6 linked regions of the Rattus norvegicus genome follow. The protein of the gene in region 1 interacts with the protein of each later gene in a pairwise test. Links are inferred from orthologs where the notes say so. Each region holds a gene or a part of one and is shown on either strand. Other genes may lie near its edges.

Region 1 (3,680 bases):
CCCTAACCCCATTCATCCGGTTTTAATGCATTCTGAGCATTGTGCCTGCACAGCATCACATCCCAAGACTGGAGTTAAAAATGGTTGCAGTTAAATGCTGAGAATTAAATCCAGGTTCTCAAGAGTAGCCAGTGCTCTCAGCTGCCGAGCCACCCATCTGGTCCTAGGGGTTTGGTTTTATTTGCAGCAGGATTTTGCTGTGTAGCATAGGTTAGCCCAGAACCTCTCCCTCTGCCCTGAGTGTGCCAGGGAAGTTTGCCACCATGCTGGAGTATAGCATTTTGTATGGTTTTACATAAAACTGCATCCCTGTTTCCCATGAGCCCTCTGGGTTACGGTGGCTACTCCTCAGCTCTATAATCTGTGTGTGTGCCCAGGTAAAGCAGCCTATGCAGCCTAAGCAGTTCCTTCCTGACCCTCCCCAGAAAAGGTACTTATTCTGCCTGAGACCTCTCATTTGTGCCTCCCAGCTCTACAACCCAGGGATCACAAGAGCCAGCTTTATTCTGAAATCTTTATTAAGGCAGCATGATAGAAATGGGCCACCAGCCCAAACCTTGTGGCCTGAGGAAAGACCTGTGTCCATGGGGCTCGCCCTCTCTCCGGATAGTCCAGTCACCTCCACGGCATCCATCCCTATTAAACCCTCCCCGCTGAAGATGAGCTGGAGGGCTACGGAGAGGAAGGCAGGACCCCCTCCCAGGCTGTAGCAGCTCCTGGGCCACAAAGCGGTAGCAGAGGGGAGGGAAAGAGCAACCGCCAGGGTTACCACCACTTGTGGGGTACAGGCCTCACTGTACCCTCTTACGGTTGTATTCAAAGCAATAAATTAAAATGACCATCAGCACCCTCAAGACCCTCAACCACAGAAGCATAGCAGGAAGCAAAGCAACAGTTTACGGGCGCTTGCTCTTCTAGCCAAGGCCTAGGCTGTTCCCGCTAAGAGCAGCTGGAGTAGGATTACACAGCAGCCATCTAGGTTGGCTCCTCATAGGCGTCTATCGGGATTTCTGAAGGACCCAGATCCAAATGCAGTGACCCTGCGAGGGGCAACAACACCTTTGGAAGGTACTGGGGCGTTTTGGCAACTGAAAGGATCGGCGCCCCAGACAGAGGAGGGACTCAAAAGAAATGCTGGTGTGTGGGTTCTACCTGTTTGTATCTCTCTGACCATCATGGCCCAGGACAGCCAAGCTGGTTGAGTGGGAAGGAAGAGGAACTGACTGGCCATGTAGACACCCTCATGACCAAGCAGCCCCTTAGTGCACACTGTGGGGATAGGCAGGACCTGGCCCCTTGGGCTTTGTGAGGGGAAAAAGAGCCCCCCTCGGGCTTCAGATATGGCATGAATTGTTCCTAGAGGCAGGGAGGGGGTGGCAGGGGCCCCTCCTCTGCTTGGTGGCCACCTGAGGGGGCCTGTCCCAAGCTACAGGTGGATGGCTGTGACATCTGTGGGAGTGCTGGTCTGACTGGGCCCCTGGCTGCTAGAGCCCCGGGGGGCTTTGGGCACGGGGCTGGGGGCTGTCTGAGCAGCTTCCCTGAGGCTCTCCCTGAGGGCAGCTTCGATCTGCTCCTGGCAGGCACGCAGGCAGTCCTAGGAAGAAAAAACAAGGTCATCATCCATTGATGGGACTCTTGGCCACAGTACTGACAACAGGCAGGTAGAAGGGAATGACCTCCCCCTGCACACCGTGAAGTCTGGGGAGGTTAGGCCACAGCCCAGCCCAGGAATCAGGGCTTTAGTTCTCAGAAACTGGCAAGAGGATGTGGCAAGGGTGTGAGAGCAACCCTGCATCTGACACCAAGTCCCCCACCCCTGGCCGCGGCACAGCACTTGCCAAGAGGGGGGCATCTACATGCAAGTGTCCGTCACCCCACCCACTCCTCTCCAGACTGGAGCAGGAGATAAAAGGCCAGAGAAGCCGGCAAGGGCATACAATCGGAGTTGGGAGATGGATGCTGCCCTCTGCTGGGGATTCAGGGGAATAGCACTGTTTTTGTGAGTGGGGCCTGAGACTTACCACTTCAGTGCCTGTGATTCCCGCCAGCAGCTCTGTGAGCTCATCTGCAGACATAGAGCAGGCACCCAGGCCTAGCACTGCAGCCCCGATGCTGCCCGTGGCGATCATGGATGGAGGGTACATCGCAAAGGTGTAATCTTGTAAAAGAGAGGGAACCATGAGAAGAGAGGCATCTTACACATCCTACCACACCTTACTACACGCCAGGCTGCATGGATACAGCAGACTGGGAATCCCCAGGGGTGGACGGGGTGACAGAGCCATGGGGAAATGGCAGATCCTAGGGAGGAGAGCGTTCAGTGTGCGCATGGTGCTGGCAATTTGACCAAGACATGCACACTATCACGGAACCACTACCCCAGCCCAACCTTCTCTGAGATGTGAGCAAACTTTCCATCTACCCAAGTTGCGCCTGGTCAGGAACTACAGACTATCTAAAACCCTGGTATGAAGACCTTAGGCAAGTAACCTCTCACTATTATCACCGTACACAGCTCTGAGTATTGAAGCAATCTCCCGGCTACTACCTATCCTTCCAAACAAAACCACAAGTTCCCCAGGTTGGCTTTTACCTGTGGCACAGAGGGCCAAAAAGGTCTGAGCATGCTTTTTGACCAGTGCCTGCCGGTCACTGGGCAGAGAGAGGCGGTGCAGAATCAGGGCCAGGAAGTCGTGCGCAATCACAGCAGCCAGGTCCCACTTGAGCTTCCCCAGGACCAGCACCTCCCATTCCTGGGGGATAGAGAACGAACATGGAGTCAGTGACTGGCAAAGGGGCAAGAGAATTTGACAGAAGGCTCACAGTTCTGCCTCTGGCTTCAGGGGCTGGTGCTGCGGAATGAGTTCGGGGCAGGGAAGATCTGGGGGCAAACACGTCAGCATCCATTGATGTTACTGGGTGCTAGGATGACATGGGTTATCTATCCCTCTTAATCCTCCCATGAATTTGAGGCTGGTGTGGGTTGAAACAGACCAACTCTAAATTCCACAGGCTTCGGAAATCTCTTCCAACCCTGCATCGCAGCCAGGTCTCTTAAACAGAACGAGCATGAGGCCACTCCTAAGGTTCCTCGAAGGGGAGGTGGCCCAACCCAACCCACACCCCCTTTGTGGGACATTATGGGTGGGTCCTGTCTCAGGACGAGGGAGTCCAAGCCAAACAGGATGAATCCAGATGACCCCTGAGAAACCTACATAACCATGGAGAGGTCCGAGGAGGAGGAGGAGGCGAGGAGCCCCAACCCCTGTCTACTCATCTGAAGTTCCTAGACCTGGCCTGAGTTGCACTTCCGAGTTGCACACAGGAGGATTTCTTCATTGTTTTATTTCAGGAAGGAACTCATGGGTTTGACTCCTCACTGAGGTAAAAATGACAGCCCCACCCAACCTCTTCCAGGCCCCCCAGCAACAGCTGTCCCTCTCTTTGTCTGATGACCTAGGTGTCAGCCCCAGGCGTCTTACAGGACCCCACAGAAACAGCCTGGACTAGAGCCAGAAGTAAGGCAAGGAAGCCTGAATTTCGCACCCAGGGCTCTGCTAGCTAGCATCCAGCCTCTGAGGGAGCAGCACCCAAAAGGCAATGAAGACTATGCGTGGTCCTCACTGAGGCTAGGTGGACACCCTCCCCCATCTCCAGACATGAAAATCGCAGCCCTACTC
Region 2 (4,046 bases), on another chromosome or scaffold:
CTCTTCAACTGAGGCCGCCGCCGCCGTTGCCTCCTCTCCTTTTCGCAGCCATGGAGTGAGTAACCGCTCGCCCCTCCCTCTCCAACCGCCTTTCCCGCCCTTTCACAGAGCTCGCGGGGCTTCACGGGTCAGCCTCGTGGGGAGGGGGTGGGGAAGACGATATGAGGAACCACGGTCGCGCAGGCGCAGAAGAGGGAAGTCGGTGGCCGGCGCATCCGCTGAGCAAGCGCACTAGGCTCCAGGCGTGGGGGAGGGTGTGCTTCCGCAGAGTCTGGGGGCTTTTAAGGTCGGTTCGCGCGCCATTGCGCCTGCGCACTAATTCACAGACCCTCTTCCTCCTTTCCCCTCAGAGGATACGAACCCACACTCTATTGCGCATGCGCATTACCTTATTCCCGGCCTGAACTACGGAGGGCGGCCGGTAATTGGCTAAACACACGCACTGGTCCCCCCAGGAGGGTAGTGGCGTAACAATGAATCCGGTCCAGGGTCTGAGCTTTCGTCTTGCGGCTTAGCGAGCAATCAGCGAGGAAGGGTGGAGTTCCTCGAGGCTCTGACACTGGTCCAACTTCCCTCCAATCAGGCACCTGCTGGGGCGGGGACTGGCTTAGATTGACAGGGAAGGCTAAAGAACACCTTTAAGAAAGACTTGGAGCTAGAACCAAGGGGCGGGGCCTCTAGGGACTTGCTAGTTGGGGGCGGGAACTGACTTGACAGACAGGAGTGTGGGCGGGGCTTCCCGTAGAATCTGTAGAAGTCACCTAAAACTTTTAAGGGAAGAGTGGGATTTGTGTGTGTAACACTGATGAAGGGCCCAAGGCATGGCAGAATTATTCTGGGAACCCCTGTGAACTCTAAAGGGCGTATAGTCTAAAGAAAATATTGATGCGGAAGGGGCACGGCTAGAAGAAAATAAAATTACCTTGGGATTGAATTTTTTTACGAAGAGCAATAAGATGAGGTAGGTAGGAGGGGCTGGAAGTAATTCCCCTGGGAGAACACTAGGTTTCTGTGTTGAGGGAGGAGATGGGGCTGGGGAGTTTCCAAAAGTTGCCTTGGGAATGTATGGAGCTCTGGAATTTGCAGAAAGAAGAAAAGTGTGGGTAGCTTGTGGGTCAAGCAGCTTTGACTCAACCCCACCCACGCCACCTTGTCTTCCTCACAGGCCCTCCACCTTCGCCTTGGTGCCTGTCTTCACCCAGCTGAACAATCTTCCACGCTGCCTCCCAGTTGTTGGTGCAGCCTCCATTGCCATCGCAGCCCTGCACCTGTGCCTCAGCCATGTCACTCCTGGCGACCCTGGGACTGGAGCTGGACAGGGCCCTGCTCCCAGCTAGCGGGCTGGGCTGGCTCGTAGACTATGGGAAACTCCCCCTGGCCCCTGCCCCCCTGGGCCCCTATGAGGTCCTTGGGGGTGCCCTGGAGGGCGGGCTTCCAGGGGGGGGAGAGCCCCTGGCAGGTAAGAAACAGGTGAAAAAGAGAGGTGGGTTAAGGTGGCGGGGTGTGGAAGGACAGAAAAGGAAGGATTTATTCATTCACAAGATCAGTACAGAGGGCCTGCAGTGTGCCCAGCCCTGTTCTTCATGTGCAAGGTGCAGAGCAAGGGATACCAAAGCTCGTGGAAGCATCAGGAGACAGAGGTGGGAAGCCAAAGCTTAGCTGAAAGGAAGACATGGTTGAGAAGTCAGCCTTCTCTAAGTAGACAACCTCTGGATTGAGGGCTAAGGGATGGGCAAAGGGAGCCATGATAAGTCCTGAGGGGAGCGCTATCTCAGAGATTCTGAGGCAGGCAGTCAACAGATGGTTGTCCTAGACTGTGCCTGGTGGCTTATGTCCATAACTTCCCCTGTTAGAGGCTTCTCATCCTCTTGAGCCCAGGCCAACCTAGGCAGCCTGGTAAGAACATAGTTGTCAAACATCTGAGAAACACAAAAGGAGAGCAAATAAAGATGGAGAGAGTCACGCCCACACACGCAAACACACAGAGGGGGGAGGGAGGAGAGAAAGTGTGTGAGTATAATCCCAGCACTCTGGGAGAGAGTCAGAAGTTTAAGGGTTGTCCTCAGCTACAGACTACAGAACAGGTCCAAGGCTATCCTAGTCTACACAAGACTCTGTCGACAATAGATAAGTAAACAAGTGAGGGAAAGAGAGGAGACACTAGTGTGGGGTGCAGTCGACCAACCTGGTCAAGGAGAAGGATTATAGAGATGGGAGCTGACCTTCGTCGGGTGGGCCATTAGTTGGGCGAGTGCTTCACTGAGTGGCTGACTGATTATTTCATCGGTTAGTTGGTCAATTAATCGGTTGGTTGACTGATTTGAATCATTGGTTGGCTTGTTCATTGATTGGCTAATGAGTTGATTAGTTTATTAGCAGGTGGCCTGGTGAACTGATTGGATGATTGGCTGGCTGTCTTGTTCATTGATTAATGATTTGTTGGGTGGTTGGCTGATGAACTAGGTATGATTGGCTGGCTGGCTGGCTGGTTGGTTAGTTCATTAGTTAGTGGCTTGATGGGTAAACTAGCTAGCTGGTTGGTTGATTGGTTGATTAGTTTCTTCCCTAACTCACTGGTTGCTGACAGGTCTATAGATTGGATGGTTGGCTGGCTGGTCACTTGTCACATTGAGTGAATGGGGCATGAATGAACACCAAGTGGATAAAGCACAGACCTTAGAGATTTTTATGTCCTCCCCCCACATCCTCAGGTGACGGCTTCTCTGATTGGATGACCGAGCGGGTGGACTTCACAGCCCTCCTTCCTCTGGAGGCCCCTCTGCCCCCAGGCACTCTCCCCCCACCCTCCCCTGCCCCCCCTGACCTGGAAGCCATGGCATCCCTACTCAAGAAGGAGCTAGAACAGATGGAAGACTTCTTCCTTGATGCCCCACTCCTTCCACCGCCCTCCCCACCTCCACCCCCACCCCCAGCACCCTCTCTGCCCCTGCCCTTACCCTTGCCCACCTTTGATCTCCCGCAGCCTCCTACCCTGGATACCCTGGACTTGCTAGCTGTTTACTGCCGCAGTGAGGCTGGGCCAGGGGATTCAGGCTTGACAACCCTGCCTGTCCCCCAGCAGCCTCCTCCTCTGGCCCCTCTGCCTTCACCCTCCCGACCAGCCCCCTATCCTAGTCCTGCCAGCACCCGAGGGGACCGCAAGCAAAAGAAGAGAGACCAGAATAAGTCAGCTGCTCTCAGGTACCGCCAGAGGAAGCGGGCAGAGGGCGAGGCCCTGGAGGGCGAGTGCCAAGGGCTAGAGGCGCGGAATCGGGAGCTGAGGGAGAGGGCAGAGTCAGTGGAACGGGAGATCCAGTATGTGAAGGATCTGCTAATTGAGGTGTATAAGGCACGAAGCCAGAGGACCCGCAGTGCCTAGGGTACAGGAGGAGGCAGTTCTGGTGTACCTGTGCCTCCAGCTTCACCCTGTCCCTCCATTTCACTTCCCTGTGCATCCGTGTCTAGGTCTCCCCTCTGCCTATCCCCATTATGGGTTATTTGGCATAGTCAGTTTCTGTACCCCTTCAGTGCAACTGAGAAACCAAGGCCCTCAGGGAATCAGAGGAGCCAGCCTGATCCCTGGTCTCTGGAGTCTTAAAACAAGTGTGTTTTTGCAGGTAGTCCTAGTTGGGTGTCGGGGGGAGGCTGCCAGGCCTGGCATGGACATTAGGCAGGAAGCCACTCTGGATGATTGTGCACATGAGAACCTAGTCAGGGAGGGAGGGTTTTAAGGAGAGGACTTAGAATACAAGTGAGAAGCCAGCCGAGGAAAGGGAACCAAGTCCTCAGAATAGAAGGCTATACTGGCCTAGGGACAGGAAGGGGTGGCTGTAGTTGGTAACTAGGGTGTCATTTTAGCTCTGTGAGAGAATCAGTGTTTTGTGAAGGTGTGGGGGAAGGGTTGCATCTGGTGGGGGCTGATCCTCCAGGGGTTGTGGGCTCAAATAAAATGCAGACTTTCCTGTGGCCTGTGTGTCTGTCTTTGAGAGGGGACTGGGGAGACTGAGTCTGGGGGTAGTCATAAAGACAACGGAGAATAAACCAAA
Region 3 (3,500 bases), on another chromosome or scaffold:
AAGCCATTGGGTGAAATGTATGGTACATGAGTCATGTCTCAATAAAGCTGTTTAAAACTAAGTTTTAAATCTAAACCATACATGTCTATCTTGCTGAAGAATATGGGGTTGGTCATCTTCCCTTGCGGAAAAAGGCTGAACATTCACTGAAGGCTGAGGAGAAACCACAGGACGCAGGATGGCAGGCAGGTCATCCTGTCTCCTGCTAGGTAACATCTTTGTTAAGACTTGAGTATGGAGGGGTTGGGGATTTGGCTCAGTGGCAGAGCGCTAGCCTAGGAAGCACAAGGCCCTGGGTTCGGTCCCCAGCTCCAAAAAAAAAAAAAAAAAAAGAACCAAAAAAAAAAAAAAAAAGACTTGAGTATGGGGGAAAGTAAGTGATTCCTTAACCGGCCTCTTCATCAAAGTCAGCAAGGGACAAGGCGGTTGAGGACAGGGCCTCGCTTCATTTATGGGAAGAAAACCAGAAAGAGAGCACTGTGGGACATAGCATTTCCTTCATGAAACGCTTTCAGTTACATTCCTGCTAGGATGAATATGGGTGTACCATGACTTCTGTACTTTTTATTTGCTTTTAAAATTATGAAGTATTTGAAACACACTGAATTTCTTTTGAACAAGAGCTTAGCTAGAAGTCAGAACTGTCTCTTTGTTAAATAGTCTGATTTCTTTTGATCGTAGGTGTGACATCTCCAACCACATTGTATGACAGGTACAGTTCCCCAACAGTCAGTACTACTAGAAGGCGGCTATTTGAGAGTGACAGTCCCTCTGAAGGAAGCACGGCTGGGCGCATCCCCCCACAACCCCTAGTCAATGCTGTCCCTGTGCAGAATGTATCTGGGGAGACTGTTTCTGTCACACCAGTTCCTGGACAGACCTTGGTCACCATGGCAACAGCCACTGTCACAGCCAACAATGGACAAACAGTGACCATTCCAGTACAAGGTAAGGAAGGCAGGGTTAGGGGTTGAGTTCTCTGGCATTTGTCAGAAAGTCACCTAAGTTTGGGAAGTGTCAATGTAAGATAATGATGGAAGACGGGGGGCGGGGGGAAATAAAACCTTCATGTCGACCATTCTTTCTTCTTTGTAATAAACCGCAGGTATTGCCAACGAAAATGGAGGGATAACATTCTTCCCAGTCCAAGTGAATGTTGGGGGCCAGGCACAGGCTGTGACTGGCTCTATCCAGCCCCTCAGTGCTCAAGCGCTGGCTGGAAGTCTGAGTTCCCAACAGGTGACAGGAACAACTTTGCAAGTCCCCGGTCCGGTGGCCATTCAACAAATTTCCCCTGGAGGACAACAGCAGAACCAAGGCCAGCCGTTAACCAGCAGCAGTATCAGGCCTCGGAAGACTAGCTCCTTATCACTTTTCTTTAGAAAGGTAACCTTTCATGTACCCTTACTGGAGCACAGGCTCAGGAAGTGTAAGCATTAAACAAGGTTTGAAATATTCTTTTTGTTTTTGTTTTTGTTTTTTTTGTTTTTTTTCCGGAGCTGAGGACCAAACCCAGGGCCTTGTGCTTGCTATGCAAGCGCTCTACCACTGAGCTAAATCCCCAACCCCGGTTTGAAATATTCTTATCTCTCTGTTAGGTTTACTACTTAGCTGGTGTCCGCCTTCGAGACCTTTGCACAAAACTAGATATTTCAGATGAACTGAGGAAAAAAATTTGGACCTGCTTTGAATTCTCTATAGTCCAGTGTCCTGAACTTATGATGGACAGACATCTGGACCAGTTGTTAATGTGTGCCATTTACGTGATGGCAAAGGTAAGTACTATTTTTAGTACTGGAAAGCCAATGATGCCCCTTTGTTCCCTAGAACATTTTTAGATAACCACTCACCGAGTCTCATATCCCAAATATGTGCTGTCAGCAGAGCTTTAGAACAATCCAGCTTATAGACATTGGGCAGTAATTTTTATCCATCAATTAATAGACATGTGGGTTGTTCCTCACAGTTGTGAACAGCACTGTTGTATACATTGTGGGTGAAATTTGTGTAGACACAGGCTTCCGTTTCCCTCAGAGTAAATGCCTAGAAATGGATCTGTGGATCATATGGGAACTGTATGTTTAAACACAAAGGAACTGCCAGGCTACTTCTCAGAGTATGGTTCACATGTTTATATCCCTATTTAATATATAAAGTTCTTAATTCCTCTAGTTTCCCATTAGTACTTAAAAAAGATTTACTATATGTTTGGAGGGGGAGGGAGTTTTTGCCCTGAGAATTCATTGCCAAATTTGAGATCCAGTATCGTGAGGCTTTACCTTGTCTAGAAGATTCTAGAAGAGTCTGCATTCCAGAGTTCCTGACTCATCGTTAGATGTGGTATGAGATCCAAGTCCAGCTTCACTCTTTTTGTGTTGCTTTCTGGCCACCACACCACTATTTAAGCCCCATCTCCCCACTGAATGAATGGTTTTGGCATGTTTGTGTTAGCAGACACATGGTTATGTCATGTAGTGGACACATGGGTTATGTCAAGACCGTCTATTTGACTATGTTGATCTTTGTCCATCATACGTAGACCTTTACACTCTCAATGACTCTTGCTTTTCTATAAATTTTGAAACTGGAAAATACGAGTCCTAATTTTATTTTATTTTTGATTATTTTAGTTATTCTGAGTCCCTTGGAATTCCATAAAAGTTTTAGAATCAAGTTGTCACTGTCATAAAAGTCACGTGAAAATCTGTAGATCAGTTTGGAGAATTCAGTCATGTAGGGGTCAGTCTTCCTTCAGGAACGTGGTGTGTTCTCACATTTGTTTAGGTCTTCAGTTTTTAACAATGACCCATACTTTCAACACGTAGTCTCCCCCTTGTTGTTTTTCCTGTAGGTTTTGATGGTATTGTACATGTAGCTGTTTCGTTTTTGATGTACTCATTCCAAGAGTTCAGAAAACAGTTGGATTCTGGGCCTTGACTTAGTATCCAACAACCTTGCTAAGTTGGTTGTTTTTTGTGGTGCAGGGATTGAACCTAGGGCTGTTAAAATGCAAGACAAGCACTCTACACTCAGCTGTCTCTAGTCCTGAAACTCTTACTGGGTTCTAAGCATATTTTGTGTCAACTGTTTTGATGGGCAGATAATGCGGTCTTAATAATTATACTATTACTTGTCCAAATTCCCTGTCTTTCTTAATTGCCATGGTTAGAACATCCAGTGCAATGTAAAAAGCAGAAATCCTTGTATGCTTCCTGGCCTTACAGAGAAAATAATTAACTAGTCTTTCCCTATCGGAATATGGCATTAGATCTCTCTCCACCCCACCTGTGAGTGACCTCAGGTAGGCCGCTCTCACCCGGTGAAGGATTTTACTTATTGTTGTTTGATAAAAAGGTGTTGGATATTATTAAAGGCCCTTTTCTGTATTCATTGTGGGGTTTGCTATGCTAATGACATCGTATACTACATTAGTTGGATTTCACGTCAGATCACCTTTGCAAATCTCTTGGCTTATGGCAACAATTTTGGATTGCACGTTT
Region 4 (4,278 bases), on another chromosome or scaffold:
AGCCACTAGGTCCTTAGACACCTTGTCGCGAGCCTTGTAAAGGGGAAGTTGGCCATCAGGCAGGCACCATAGCTTGCCATCCCCAGCATCTCTGAACCAAGGCCAAAGCCTGGCATTCCTTTACAGTCCTGTTTGTCGGCCTCACCCAGCTCTCCCAGGTTTGATGGTGGAGGAGACAGAAGGGCTTTCTCACCTTGAACACTTCTCCATACGTTCCACCACCCAGTCGCTGCAGTAGATCATAGTGTTCTCGAGGGTCCTTATTAAAGATGTCAGGGTCCACAAGGGCCATCCCTGGAGGCCGGGGCTGGGCCAGTGCCCAGTGGGCCAACAGGGCCTCAGGGCTCAAGCTTTGGTATTACCCTCTGTCTCCACAAGTCCTGGGCCCGCCTTGACTCTGTGGGCTGTGGCCTTCCCCCTCCCCACTCTCGCTTCCTGCCCCAGCTGCAGGGCTGTGCAGAGGGCTCCGCAGAGGGCTCCACCCCCGTCCCCTGGGTTCTGAGAGTTTGATCGCCTTGGGACTGATGGGACTCCCCTTTACTCCCTGAAGGACACTATGTAAATAAGATGCAAAAGTTCTTAAATGCAACCTTGGGCTGACCTAGCTCCCTCTCCCCAACACTCTCCTATTTTGGGAGGAGTCACAGGTTACAGTTGAACCTCTGCTGAGTACTTGAAGATTTGGAGTCAAGCCAGAGGTCGCAGGTCTGCACAAAGCTGGATGAGTAGCAGAGGACTGTTTACTCGTGACACATGCGTGTGACCTAAGTGACAGCTGGGCTCAGGGCACCTGCCCACATGGCACATGTCTCTGCATCGCTTCAAAAGTGTACGGAATCTGTGGCAGACGTGGAACACTTGTTAGCAGTCCCTACGCGGAGCCTGATTGAGACTCCATTGTACCACGGTAGTCCCTCCGGGTGCTGGTATCATTTGCCTTCCCAGCTTCCTAGCAGAGAGCACTGTAGCATCACGGAATGCGAGTGGGGACAAGGGTTTGGAACTTAACGAGGAAGTGAGGATACGGGATGCTATCTTAGGCACCCAAGTCGGAGACAAGAAGGGCTTCAGAGAGCATCTCCCACCCGACTAAACGCAAAGAAAAGAATGGACGCCTTCAAGCGGCTATAGGGATTTATGGCTACGCATGCGTGCAGAGAACTATGTCTCCTTTTCCCGTACAACTCCAGCGCACGCGCATCGGAAGCTTAAGGTTCGTGCGGCCCGGGAAAAGCTTAGCCCGCCTCCTGGCGCCTGCGTAGTAAGGCAGACTATACCTTTCTCACGGTATTGGTCTCTTTTAGGTGTGACCAATGCGCATGCGCAAATTACAACTGCTAGCAGGAAATCATGTGGTAGCAAAAAAAAAAAAAAACCGGCGCGGCTGCCGGAAGCGCCTTTCCCTATGCCTTCCTTGTAGGAACTAGAGAGAGGGTGTGACGTAATTCCGCTTCCACCACGTTTCTTTTTCTTCCGGTCCTTGAGTACTTAGTACCGTAACTGGTGTTCGACTCCAGCTGGGGCTGCAGAAGGCGACAGTGGTCATGGCGATGTTTGAGCAGATGAGAGCAAACGTGGGCAAGTTGCTCAAGGGTATCGACAGGTCTGAGCTCGGCTGGAGGGCGCGCTCTGATCAAGCGGGGTGGAGAAGACGGGAAGCCAGCCCTGGGTGGCTAGGGCTTCACGCTCTTCCAGAGGCGGAGTTTTTCCAAGTTTAGCTTTGTCCCTCAACTTTACCTTTTCTGCTGCCACAGACTCTCGATGTTTCTTAGTTTCTTCCTCCTCTGTCCTTCTTGTGGGCCATCCTACATAATGTTCACTGATTTCTATTTGGCCAGTGGGAACCGGAGGTGATGGAAACAGCCACAGGTCCTGCGTTCCTGGACCTAGGTTCCCATTCCATCCCGGCGACAACCCCTTTTAACAGATAGTGACAGTAAGGAGAGATCAGGGCCTGGCCAGGGCAAGCCACGTATTGACCTAGGCAGGAGAGAGTGGAACTGGGTCAGAACGGAATCCAAGAGAAGGTATTCAGGAACACATAGGGGCTGCAGAGACTGGCTGCGGTTGGAGGCATCTTAGACACGACCCGGGGCTCAAGTAGGGCTAACCAGAGGTCCATGTTGTGAACAAGACTTACTGGAGGTAGTACAGTTGATCAGCTATCTAGGTAGTTTCAGTGGATGGGACTAAATTATTTAAGATCGAATGAATGTAGCTTTATTAAAAAGAATAATAAAGAAAGGAATACCACATGGCTAGAATCAAAGCTGCCGGAAGGAAGAGAGTGAGTTCAGGTTAACAAATTACAGTGGTCCCTAAGTCCTATAATGGGACTGGCCTCTGTTGTTCTCTTCTGTTTACCCATGTCTGTCTGTCTAGTTATCTTCCTTTTTTGAGACAGGTTTTCACTATAAATCCCAGACTAGCTTCAAACTTGCAATCCTCCTGTCCTACCTCAGCCTCCTAGGTACTGGGATGAATGGCATGTATCCACCATGCCAGGGTACTCACCCATCTTAACACCCTACCAGGTACAATCCCGAGAACTTGGCTACCTTGGAGCGGTATGTGGAGACACAGGCCAAGGAGAATGCCTATGATCTAGAAGCCAACCTGGCCGTCCTGAAACTGTGAGTGTCTGTCCCCACCCTCATGCCAGGAGCTAGCTAGCAGAAAGCCACTCTGGATAGGGAACCTGGTGCAGAGGTGCCTGGGGCAAGCTGCAGGGTGTGACTTCTCTTTGTGTGTAAACTAAGGGTCTGAGTGGGGTTGTTTTGTTTTGTTTTGTTTTTAATCCATTCCAAAAACATACAGGGTAATAAACGATTCTCTGTTTCTTGACAGATTATTGTAAATGAACATCCATTTTGTTAGTTCCGCTGGCCCTCAGCTCATGTGCTTTACCCCATCACATCCCTGGCTTAGGTAAACCACTGTTGAGCCCTTATGGCCCAGCCTTGGGTCCAGATCAGCTTAGGTCAGGTCTGTTTGCTTTGAGCTCTGCTGTAATCACATAGCTCAAGCTCTTCCGCACCATGCATCTTCCTCTGGGTTGGAGGCAGCCTTCTTCCATTTTTTTTCTTTACCCATATTCATGAGTGTGTGTGTGTGTGTGTGTGTGTGTGTGTGTGTGTGTGTGTGTGTGTGTAGGGGCTGTGTGTGCACACATGCATGTGGCTTGAGGTTGATATCAACCAGTCATCTTCAATCATTCTTCCACTTTATTCAGAGTCAGAGCCCAGAATTCACCAACACAGCTTGTCTGGCTAACCAGCTTGCTCTTGGCATCCCTGTGGTAACATCTTCAGAGACTGGAGTGCCAGGCAGGCTGCCGTGCCTACCTGGCATAAACATTTTATTATTTTTTAAAGATTTATTTATTATATACAAGTACACTGTCGCTGCCTTCAGACACACCAGAAGAGGGCATTCGATCCCATTACAGATGGTTGTGAGCCACCATGTTGTTGCTGGGATTTGAACTCAGGACCTCTGGAAGAACAGCCAGTGCTCCTAACCTCTGAGCCAACTCTCCAGCCCTATTTTATTCTTTTAAATTCATTTTGTTTTATGAGTGTGAGGGCAAGGGTGGCGGTCCAAGGACAACCTGAAGTGGTCAATCTTGCTTTCCACCGGTTTGTTTTGCTGAGTCCTGGCACTCCTGCTATAGACCAGGGTGGCCTTGGGACTAAGGACACCATGTCCGGCACTTTCCACCTTTCTGATTTCTGCTTCTGAATGCTGATTGGCCTGCACACTTCTAGAAGATTCTGTTTCTCGTCTCCCCATGGCAGCACTGGGGCAAACTCACTGAATCCTGTTTTATGAGTCCAGATTTAGCTTAGATCAGTGAGTTTACACCGTAAGTGTTTATACTGACTAAGCCATCTCTGGTCCTTTTTCTTGTTTTCTTAATTTATTTGCTTATTTTTAGCCAGGGTCCTGTAGCTGTCAGTGGCTTTGAACTTGCTATCAAGATGACATTGAACTCCTCCTCCCAAGTGCTGTCATGATGAACACGTGCCATCATCCGGCTTGCGTTCTCTGAGACCCACCCAGCACTTTACTGTAGAGCTCAGGCTGACCTCGAACTCCTGGGGCTCCTGTGCCTCAGACTTTCGAGTACACGCATCATGTGCTACCACACCCGGATGCCTCCCGTGCTTGCTTTTTTTTTTTTTTTTTTTCCTTTTTTTCGGAGCTGGGGACCGAACCCAGGGCCTTGCGCTTGCTAGGCAAGCGCTCTACCACTGAACTAAATTCCCAACCCCCCTC
Region 5 (4,175 bases), on another chromosome or scaffold:
GAGGTAGCCTTCCTCCCTCATCCTTTCAAGTTTTCCACACTCCATTGTTGGGATTGCCTCGATGTAGGCCTGATTCGCATGACACTGGCCTCTGGTTGAGGTTAATCCTCCAGGCCCTGTCCTCAGCTCAGTTCGACCCTCCACCAAAGCCTGTCAGTCCCCAATTCACAGGTCAGGGCTGCCTGCTCCAACCTTGGCCACCTAGACAAGGAGGGGCTAGGCGGGGATCCTATTTGAGATCCTGAGGGGACTACAGGGAGGGCCCCGGGAGGCTGGGGGCAAACGCCCAAGCAAGGGCAATCGCTTCTAGCTGCAGCATAGAGCGGCGGCGTGGTTTCTGGCTTTGGGTTACCGGCATGCCTCCGAGGTCTCGCCTGTCCTTTCTGCTCCTGTCTCTCCGCCTTTCCACTAGGGTCTCACCCACTTAAAAAAAATCACCCTCGGAGAGGCTGGCCCGCCGCACTTTAAACTCTGAACCGGGACATCTCAGACCCACCCCTTCCCTGCACAGCCAGCCTTCCCCCAACGCCAGTGGCACCGCGGCATGCGGAGTGGGGGGGGGGGCGGGGCGGGGAGCGATTGGCGTCTTTTCCCCCCTCGTGGCCCAGGGGGCCCAGGGAAGCGTAGCCACCGAGAAAGCGCCTTAATAAAGAGTCTTGTCAAGTGATTGGCTGTGACCTCTGCCCTTCTAGCCTCGAGCCGGGGGCTCCTGCTTAACCCTTCATTGTCCGTCCAATGCTTGGAGAGGAATGAATGAGTTGCCTTGTGCTCACTTCAGGCGTCCCCAGGCACTGCTCGAACCCAGGGCTGAGTCAAGGGGTAGAGAACAGAGCGGCACCTCCCAGTCACCCAAAGGAACGCTTGACTTCCGTGCTGTTCCATTGGGTCCATTTCGACTGCTGGTTGCCGGGGGCCCCAATTCTTGCATGAGTGGGGTCTCCAGATGTCTGGCGCCGAGCTGTTCAGAGCACCGAGTCTGGTAGAGGACTAGTAGAGGGCTGGTGAAATGGGACCTGTGTTCGCCCTGCAGGCCGAGAGACCGGAGCAACCATGACCCAGGCAGGCTAACTGTGCCCTGGGCTTGCCAGAGGCACAAACCTCGTTCTTGTCTTCTGATGCTTCCCCATCCGCCTACTGATGCGGGAGAAGGGTATCTTGGCCCTTAGAGAACCCTGGACCCACCCACAGTTCTAGAAACAGGCGGGATTCCGGAAAGGATGGGGGTGAAGTGGTCACAGAGCAGGGCCCCCAGGTGGTGCGGAAGGCGGGGCGGGGGCGGGGCCGTCTCATGCACCAGCTGGGTATAAAAGCCTAGAGCTCTGGCGCCCAGCGGCTGTGCAATTGTCCTCCACGCGGCTTGGTCCCCAGGTGGAAGGATCTGTTCTGCAAAGGGGACAGCAAGGTACCTTTAGGCTAAAGGACTCGGCGTCCAGTATTCTAGTTGAAGATCTAAAGAGAAAGCCACCTTGCTGCCACTATGCCTAACTTTTCTGGCAACTGGAAGATCATCCGATCGGAAAACTTTGAAGAAATGCTAAAAGCTCTGGGTAAGGAGGTTTTCATGAGTTGGGAAGGGGGGCAAAAAGGGCGCTGGGGTCTTTAGAACTGAGGCCGAATAAACGAAAGGAGGCCGAATCAGGGAGTGGGTGCCTGGGAGTCTGCATCCCAGAAAAGGGGCGTGCCGGATACCCTGGGTCCTAGGGCACTAGGCCCAAGACTTAAATCCTACTTTCTGAGGCTGGGCTCCCACCGGTGCCAGCTTCAACGGTGACTCAGAGCCTGTGAATCAAGTAAAAACCAAGAGCACGAGGTTAGTCTCAGGAGGGTTTGACTAGCCTCGGCGCCTGGACCTGCTGACCAGGACACCTGGCTCTGAGCTTTGAGAATCCAGTATTCAGGCAGGGAGCCCTTAGGAGACATTCCAAGCTCTTTCCACGTACCCTAACAGTAACCCAATCCGGGCGACAGGTCCATTACCCTCAACGCTTGGCTCCGCCCACCAGGTGGTCCACCACTTCACCTCCCAGACCCTCCCCCACACCTTGCACTTCCCACTCCAGTCTCCCCACCCCACCGCCACCTGTGAGACAAATATTTTCCTACAGCAACCGGCTCCAAAGCCCTAAAACCCGCTCCGGACAATTACCACTTTCTTGGATTTCAACAAATGTCGTCGTGTGAAACACCAATCCCCATTTCCGAAAGTCTAGGATTGCCTCCCTCCTAGCCACGGACCAGCTGCACCCTGCGCAACTTGGCTGTTAGCCAAGGGTGGGAACACAGAATCCACCCAGACTTTCCCTGCCCAACTTCGTTTACCTTCTAGGATGGGACTGGGCTAGAAGGTATAGGGCAGGAGAGACATCTGAGGAGAGATGGAGTTAACCGCCCCAGGCTGTGGAAACTACCCTAGAACCTAAGGGTCAAGACGCCTTCCATTTCTGCAGTGGAGGGGAGCCCGGGTTGGAGGGAAACAGGGGATATCCTTGAAGAGCTAGGAACTATACAAAAGTGAATCTGGAGCTAAAAAGAATGCCGTGAGGGCAGTAGGGCCTCCGTTCTCATCTTTCCTTGCTGTTAGTTCTTTGTGTCAGCTAACCGCAATGATTCTTAGAGTCATATCCACTTTTCCTGCTCCGCCCTTGCGAAATTAAAGATCTAAGAACAGAAATTTTCAGAAAATCTATTACCATTCCTTCCCCCATTTGCTCTGAATTCTGGCCCCTCTCCCCAGTGGATGTGGGAGGCTGGCATCACCCCCAGGTTCCAGCCGGAGAGAAAGGCCCAACCCTATTGTCTGCCTTCAGAATGTTTGTCCTCCCTGCAGGGTCTCTCTGAGCCACGCGACTTGCTAGGGGGTAGATTGCAAACAGACCCGTTGTTACACAAACTGCCTATGTCAGCCAAGGTCAGCTGAGCCAGGACCCCAGCTCTGCAGGCACCAAGGACTAAGGGAGGTGGGGTTCTTCTGAACACAGCCTCCGAAGACTCCACAGTTCCGTTCAGGGTCCATTTTATGGAGGAGTCTCAGGGCTCACCATGATAATCACTGCAAACACAGCAGGTCTTTCAGTTGAGACTGGGTGAGTCAGCTTTGGCGCTGAGTGAAGTGTCCAGTTTTCTTCTCAGGAACCCAGAGCTATAAGATGCATGAGTATTTGTGTGAGTATATGGGGGTGGGGTGGGACCTAGCACAGTGGCAGTGTCTTGTCCCCTGTAGCACCCTGAAGGGCTAGTTCTCCATCATGTCACCAGGCTTAGAGAGGTTGGTGCCCCTACCTTCTGGTCATCCCAGCAGAGGGACGCTCTCCTTCATAACTAGAGGGTGGGGACAGGGAAGGGAAAGTATATGAGGACACAGAGACTCTAAATACACAGAGGCTGAGTGGGAAGGCCTTTGGATGATGTCAGAGAGGGGGTGGGACAGTACCATCCTTTCTTCCCCCTTCCTTCCTTCAGGACAGCAGAGCTTTCCCTTGAAAGAGACCTGGGGGGGCTGGGGATTTAGCTCAGTGGTAGAGCGCTTACCTAGGAAGCGCAAGGCCCTGGGTTCGGTCCCCAGCTCCGAAAAAAAGAACAAAAAAAAAAAAAAAAAAAAAAAAAAAAGAGACCTGGGACATTGCAGAGAGAGTCTGGTGCAGGAAACTTTGTTCAAGCCCAGTTTGGGCTTTTTCTTTTTTATTTGTATATATCGCCTGCATGTAATAATGGGTTTCACTATGTCCTGGCTTTTTTTTTTTTTTTAATGGTTTTTTTGAGTCAGGGTTTCTCCGTATATTCCTGGCTGTTCTGGAACTCACCCTGTAGACCAGGCTGGTGAGCTTGAACTCAGACATCCCCCTGCCTCTGCCTCCCAAAAGGTGTCCACCACCATGCCCCGCCCTGCTAGGCTGTGGCTCTTTCTTTCATTGTGTTTGCTTTTATCTAAAAAAAATAAAAGTTTCCAGAAAACATGAATGTGTACTTGGCCTTGTGTACCCTAAATTCTTAAACATGGAGCCATAGGACAATTAGAAAAAGCTATTTTTTTGACAGTTGAGGAATTTAAAGTCAGAAAAGTTTAAGCCCAGGGTCACCCCGTTTTCACCTGTACCTTCCTCTGCTGAGAATCTGCTCCTCGGTTTTGGGAGGGGCAGGGATTGTGCAAATAAAGACCTACCAGGGTAGAGACCTAA
Region 6 (2,594 bases), on another chromosome or scaffold:
TGCATTGTCTCCCCGGGTACGGAGCCTGGCAGGGAGGAGCTGAGGGACCTGGGACACGTTGGGGACTGTGAATGACAGAGAGCTTCTCAGAGCCAGCAGGGAAGTCTGGGGGAGGAATGAACGAGAGAAGTGACAAGGAAATGTTCACTTTGCTGGGTTTGCACAGCCCAGAAGGCCTGTGGAGGGGTCGCTTGACACATGTGGCTTTGTCTTATGCAGGCCAAGGTGATTCATAGGATTCTGAGGAACCAGATGAGCAGGGTTCCACAGCTTATTCATGGGACTTGGGTGTTCCTAATACTCAGGCTCTGTTCTTGCGTGACCTCGGATGAACTTTCCAGTCTCCTGAGTTCCTCCGATGCAGGCACAAATCCTTGGGGACTAATATATGCTTCTGCCTGAGTTGACTTTGGAGGCTGGAGGCTGTAACCCAAAGGGAGGAGACACTGAGAAGGAAGTTGTTGTGATCTTGAAGAAATTGGTGATAAAACCCAAAGAACAGAGCCCTGACTCAGCCTGGACCATGTGTGCACAGGGGACAAACTAGTGGCCTATGGCCAGGAATGCCTAGTCTGAAGGCCCAAAGGACAGACATATGCCTCCCTCCTGCTGTCTAGCTGACGTGTGTTCACTTATTCACACGCTCAGTAATGATTAACTGAGCATCTACTATGGCCAGACACTGGGCTAGGCACAGGGAGTTGCAGTAAAAAGGATAGACTTCTCTCCCATGAGAGTTAAAGGAAAACAAAATATTACGAGAATGTTGAATATGAAGATGCTGCCGGAGAGATCCTGGTATAGGTCACGGGGGCGTGGAGATGGAGGGTTACCAGGAACGACCTTCTTCAGAAAGCGCTTTGCGCCTGTTCCGTGATAACCGGTTGGTCAGGGGGGAAAGACGAGAGCTGATTTCCAGGCAACGGGGAGGTCTGTTAGCCAGAGTAGGAAGTACCTGAGTTCCAAAGCAAGGACTGAACCTAGAGACAGAAGAAGTAGGGTGAGGTGGGAACAGGACCAAATGAGCCCGCGAAAGGATTTGGTCCCAAATGCAGGGGATGTCATCAGGGGGATGCTGGCATGGGGTACCTGGGTGATGGTGGATTCTGTGAAACTGAACAGTGAACATCCTGTCTCCCTCCATCCCCTGGGACACAGACCGACCTGGGGTCCAGGACGCCAAGCTGGTGGAAGCCATTCAGGACCGCCTATCCAACACGCTGCAGACCTACATCCGCTGCCGCCACCCGCCCCCAGGCAGCCACCAGCTCTATGCCAAGATGATCCAGAAACTGGCCGACCTGCGGAGCCTCAACGAGGAACACTCCAAACAATACCGCTCCCTCTCCTTCCAGCCCGAGAATAGCATGAAGCTCACACCCCTTGTGCTGGAGGTGTTCGGCAATGAGATCTCCTGACCAGGGTGGCCCACAGTGGTGCCTGGGTAGGGCCGCTCCTCCAGAGCCCTGTGCCCAGGCCCTGGGCTGGTTGCAGCCCAGCAGTGCCTCCTGCCCTTTCTGGAGTTCAGTCCTTCCTCTGCCATGGCCTCTGTCTGTCTGCCTCATCCTTTCTCCTGCCCAGCCTAACACCTGGTCTCCCTTTCCTGTAGACCTCGAGTTGCTCCTGTCTCTTGAGACCTCAGTTAGGAGAGGCTGCTGTTTATCTGACAAAGGAACTCAATTGGGGATAGAGGGCAGGGGCTGAAGGCAGAACTCTGCCTAGGGGATGCCTCCACCACAAGGGGCTGCTGCTTGTGTCAAGGGAGGCAGGCAGAAGAGACGCATTCACTCCTCAGGGACAGGTACCTGCACCTCCCCTCACTCCAGCCCTACCTGCCCAAAGCCTGGTGAGAAATCTGGCCCCTGCCTGCGAAGGGTACACAACCTACCCATCATCCCTACTGTGTCCCGTCTCATCCTGCCGCCTGTCTGTGTTATTCTGACCCGGGGGAGTAGGTCACTGAGGGGCCTCCTTCCTCTGCCTTTATACTCACGGGGCTCACTCACTGCCAAGATGACCAAATACACTACCACACGAACCAAGGAGCACTCACCCAGCCCTGCAGTTCCCACCTTTGAGGTTTTGCCATGGGAATTCCCCAGGGCCAGTACCTGTGGTACAGGGGGCTTCTTCCCCATGCCCAGAACCAGGGACCTAGAAACCACCATTGGAAAGGCCCCAGGAGATAGAATACAGGGCCCAAGTAATGAAGAACAGAGAAAGTCAGCCTCCCAGCAGAACAATGAATGAAGGTCCATCTATCTTGGTCATCAAGCTGAGGGTTCTGAAGCCTGGAGCTGTTGGGACCTCTCCTCTATAGCTATTAGATGTGTCAGGACCAAGTTGTCCCCAACTTTCAGGAAATCCATAGCCCTGTCTCCATCCCTTACCCCGCCAGTGTTTTACCACCTACCCAAGAAAGCAGGTCCTCTGGCCTCACACGACCTCCCAATTTGACCACCAGGAGTATCCCGGGAGTCATCTTGGCAGCAGTGCCCCCCACACACACACACACCAATGAGAGCTACCTTGTCCGCCCAATAGAATGGGATGGGAGAAGACCAACAGCTGCCCAAATGGGCCTCCGAGCCTCC

The links.
Region 2: the proteins of Ccnd3 (region 1) and Atf5 interact in a two-hybrid assay, tested with the Homo sapiens proteins (2 studies listed by BioGRID and IntAct). The link is inferred for Rattus norvegicus from reciprocal best matches to the Homo sapiens genes CCND3 and ATF5.
Region 3: the proteins of Ccnd3 (region 1) and Rbl2 interact in a two-hybrid assay, tested with the Homo sapiens proteins (2 studies listed by BioGRID). The link is inferred for Rattus norvegicus from reciprocal best matches to the Homo sapiens genes CCND3 and RBL2.
Region 4: the proteins of Ccnd3 (region 1) and Eif3k interact in a two-hybrid assay, tested with the Homo sapiens proteins (2 studies listed by BioGRID and IntAct). The link is inferred for Rattus norvegicus from reciprocal best matches to the Homo sapiens genes CCND3 and EIF3K.
Region 5: the proteins of Ccnd3 (region 1) and Crabp2 interact in binary tests that used the Homo sapiens proteins (3 or more experiments, as listed by UniProt). The link is inferred for Rattus norvegicus from reciprocal best matches to the Homo sapiens genes CCND3 and CRABP2.
Region 6: the proteins of Ccnd3 (region 1) and Vdr interact in a two-hybrid assay, tested with the Homo sapiens proteins (2 studies listed by BioGRID and IntAct). The link is inferred for Rattus norvegicus from reciprocal best matches to the Homo sapiens genes CCND3 and VDR.

What each region holds. Positions count from the first base shown.
Region 1 is NC_086027.1:20,891,196-20,894,875, forward strand, and holds the end of Ccnd3 (G1/S-specific cyclin-D3), read right to left. Parts: intron 2,754-3,680; coding exon 2,594-2,753; intron 2,159-2,593; coding exon 2,022-2,158; intron 1,595-2,021; coding exon 1,427-1,594; 3' UTR 501-1,426; downstream 1-500. UniProt on the Homo sapiens protein: Regulatory component of the cyclin D3-CDK4 (DC) complex that phosphorylates and inhibits members of the retinoblastoma (RB) protein family including RB1 and regulates the cell-cycle during G(1)/S transition.
Region 2 is NC_086019.1:104,432,014-104,436,059, reverse strand, and holds Atf5 (cyclic AMP-dependent transcription factor ATF-5), read left to right. Parts: upstream 1-1,264; 5' UTR 1,265-1,281; coding exon 1,282-1,459; intron 1,460-2,711; coding exon 2,712-3,379; 3' UTR 3,380-3,546; downstream 3,547-4,046.
Region 3 is NC_086037.1:32,061,912-32,065,411, reverse strand, and holds part of Rbl2 (retinoblastoma-like protein 2), read left to right. Parts: intron 1-681; coding exon 682-948; intron 949-1,105; coding exon 1,106-1,386; intron 1,387-1,598; coding exon 1,599-1,775; intron 1,776-3,500. UniProt on the Homo sapiens protein: Key regulator of entry into cell division. Directly involved in heterochromatin formation by maintaining overall chromatin structure and, in particular, that of constitutive heterochromatin by stabilizing histone methylation.
Region 4 is NC_086019.1:93,394,688-93,398,965, reverse strand, and holds the start of Eif3k (eukaryotic translation initiation factor 3 subunit K), read left to right. Parts: upstream 1-1,478; 5' UTR 1,479-1,544; coding exon 1,545-1,603; intron 1,604-2,534; coding exon 2,535-2,633; intron 2,634-4,278. Other genes in the region: Map4k1 (mitogen-activated protein kinase kinase kinase kinase 1), read right to left, coding at 1-33, 194-292. UniProt on the Homo sapiens protein: Component of the eukaryotic translation initiation factor 3 (eIF-3) complex, which is required for several steps in the initiation of protein synthesis.
Region 5 is NC_086020.1:175,713,487-175,717,661, forward strand, and holds the start of Crabp2 (cellular retinoic acid-binding protein 2), read left to right. Parts: upstream 1-1,375; 5' UTR 1,376-1,477; coding exon 1,478-1,547; intron 1,548-4,175. UniProt on the Homo sapiens protein: Transports retinoic acid to the nucleus. Regulates the access of retinoic acid to the nuclear retinoic acid receptors.
Region 6 is NC_086025.1:130,866,570-130,869,163, reverse strand, and holds the end of Vdr (vitamin D3 receptor), read left to right. Parts: coding exon 1-16; exon of another isoform or gene 17-980; intron 981-1,158; coding exon 1,159-1,418; 3' UTR 1,419-2,094; downstream 2,095-2,594.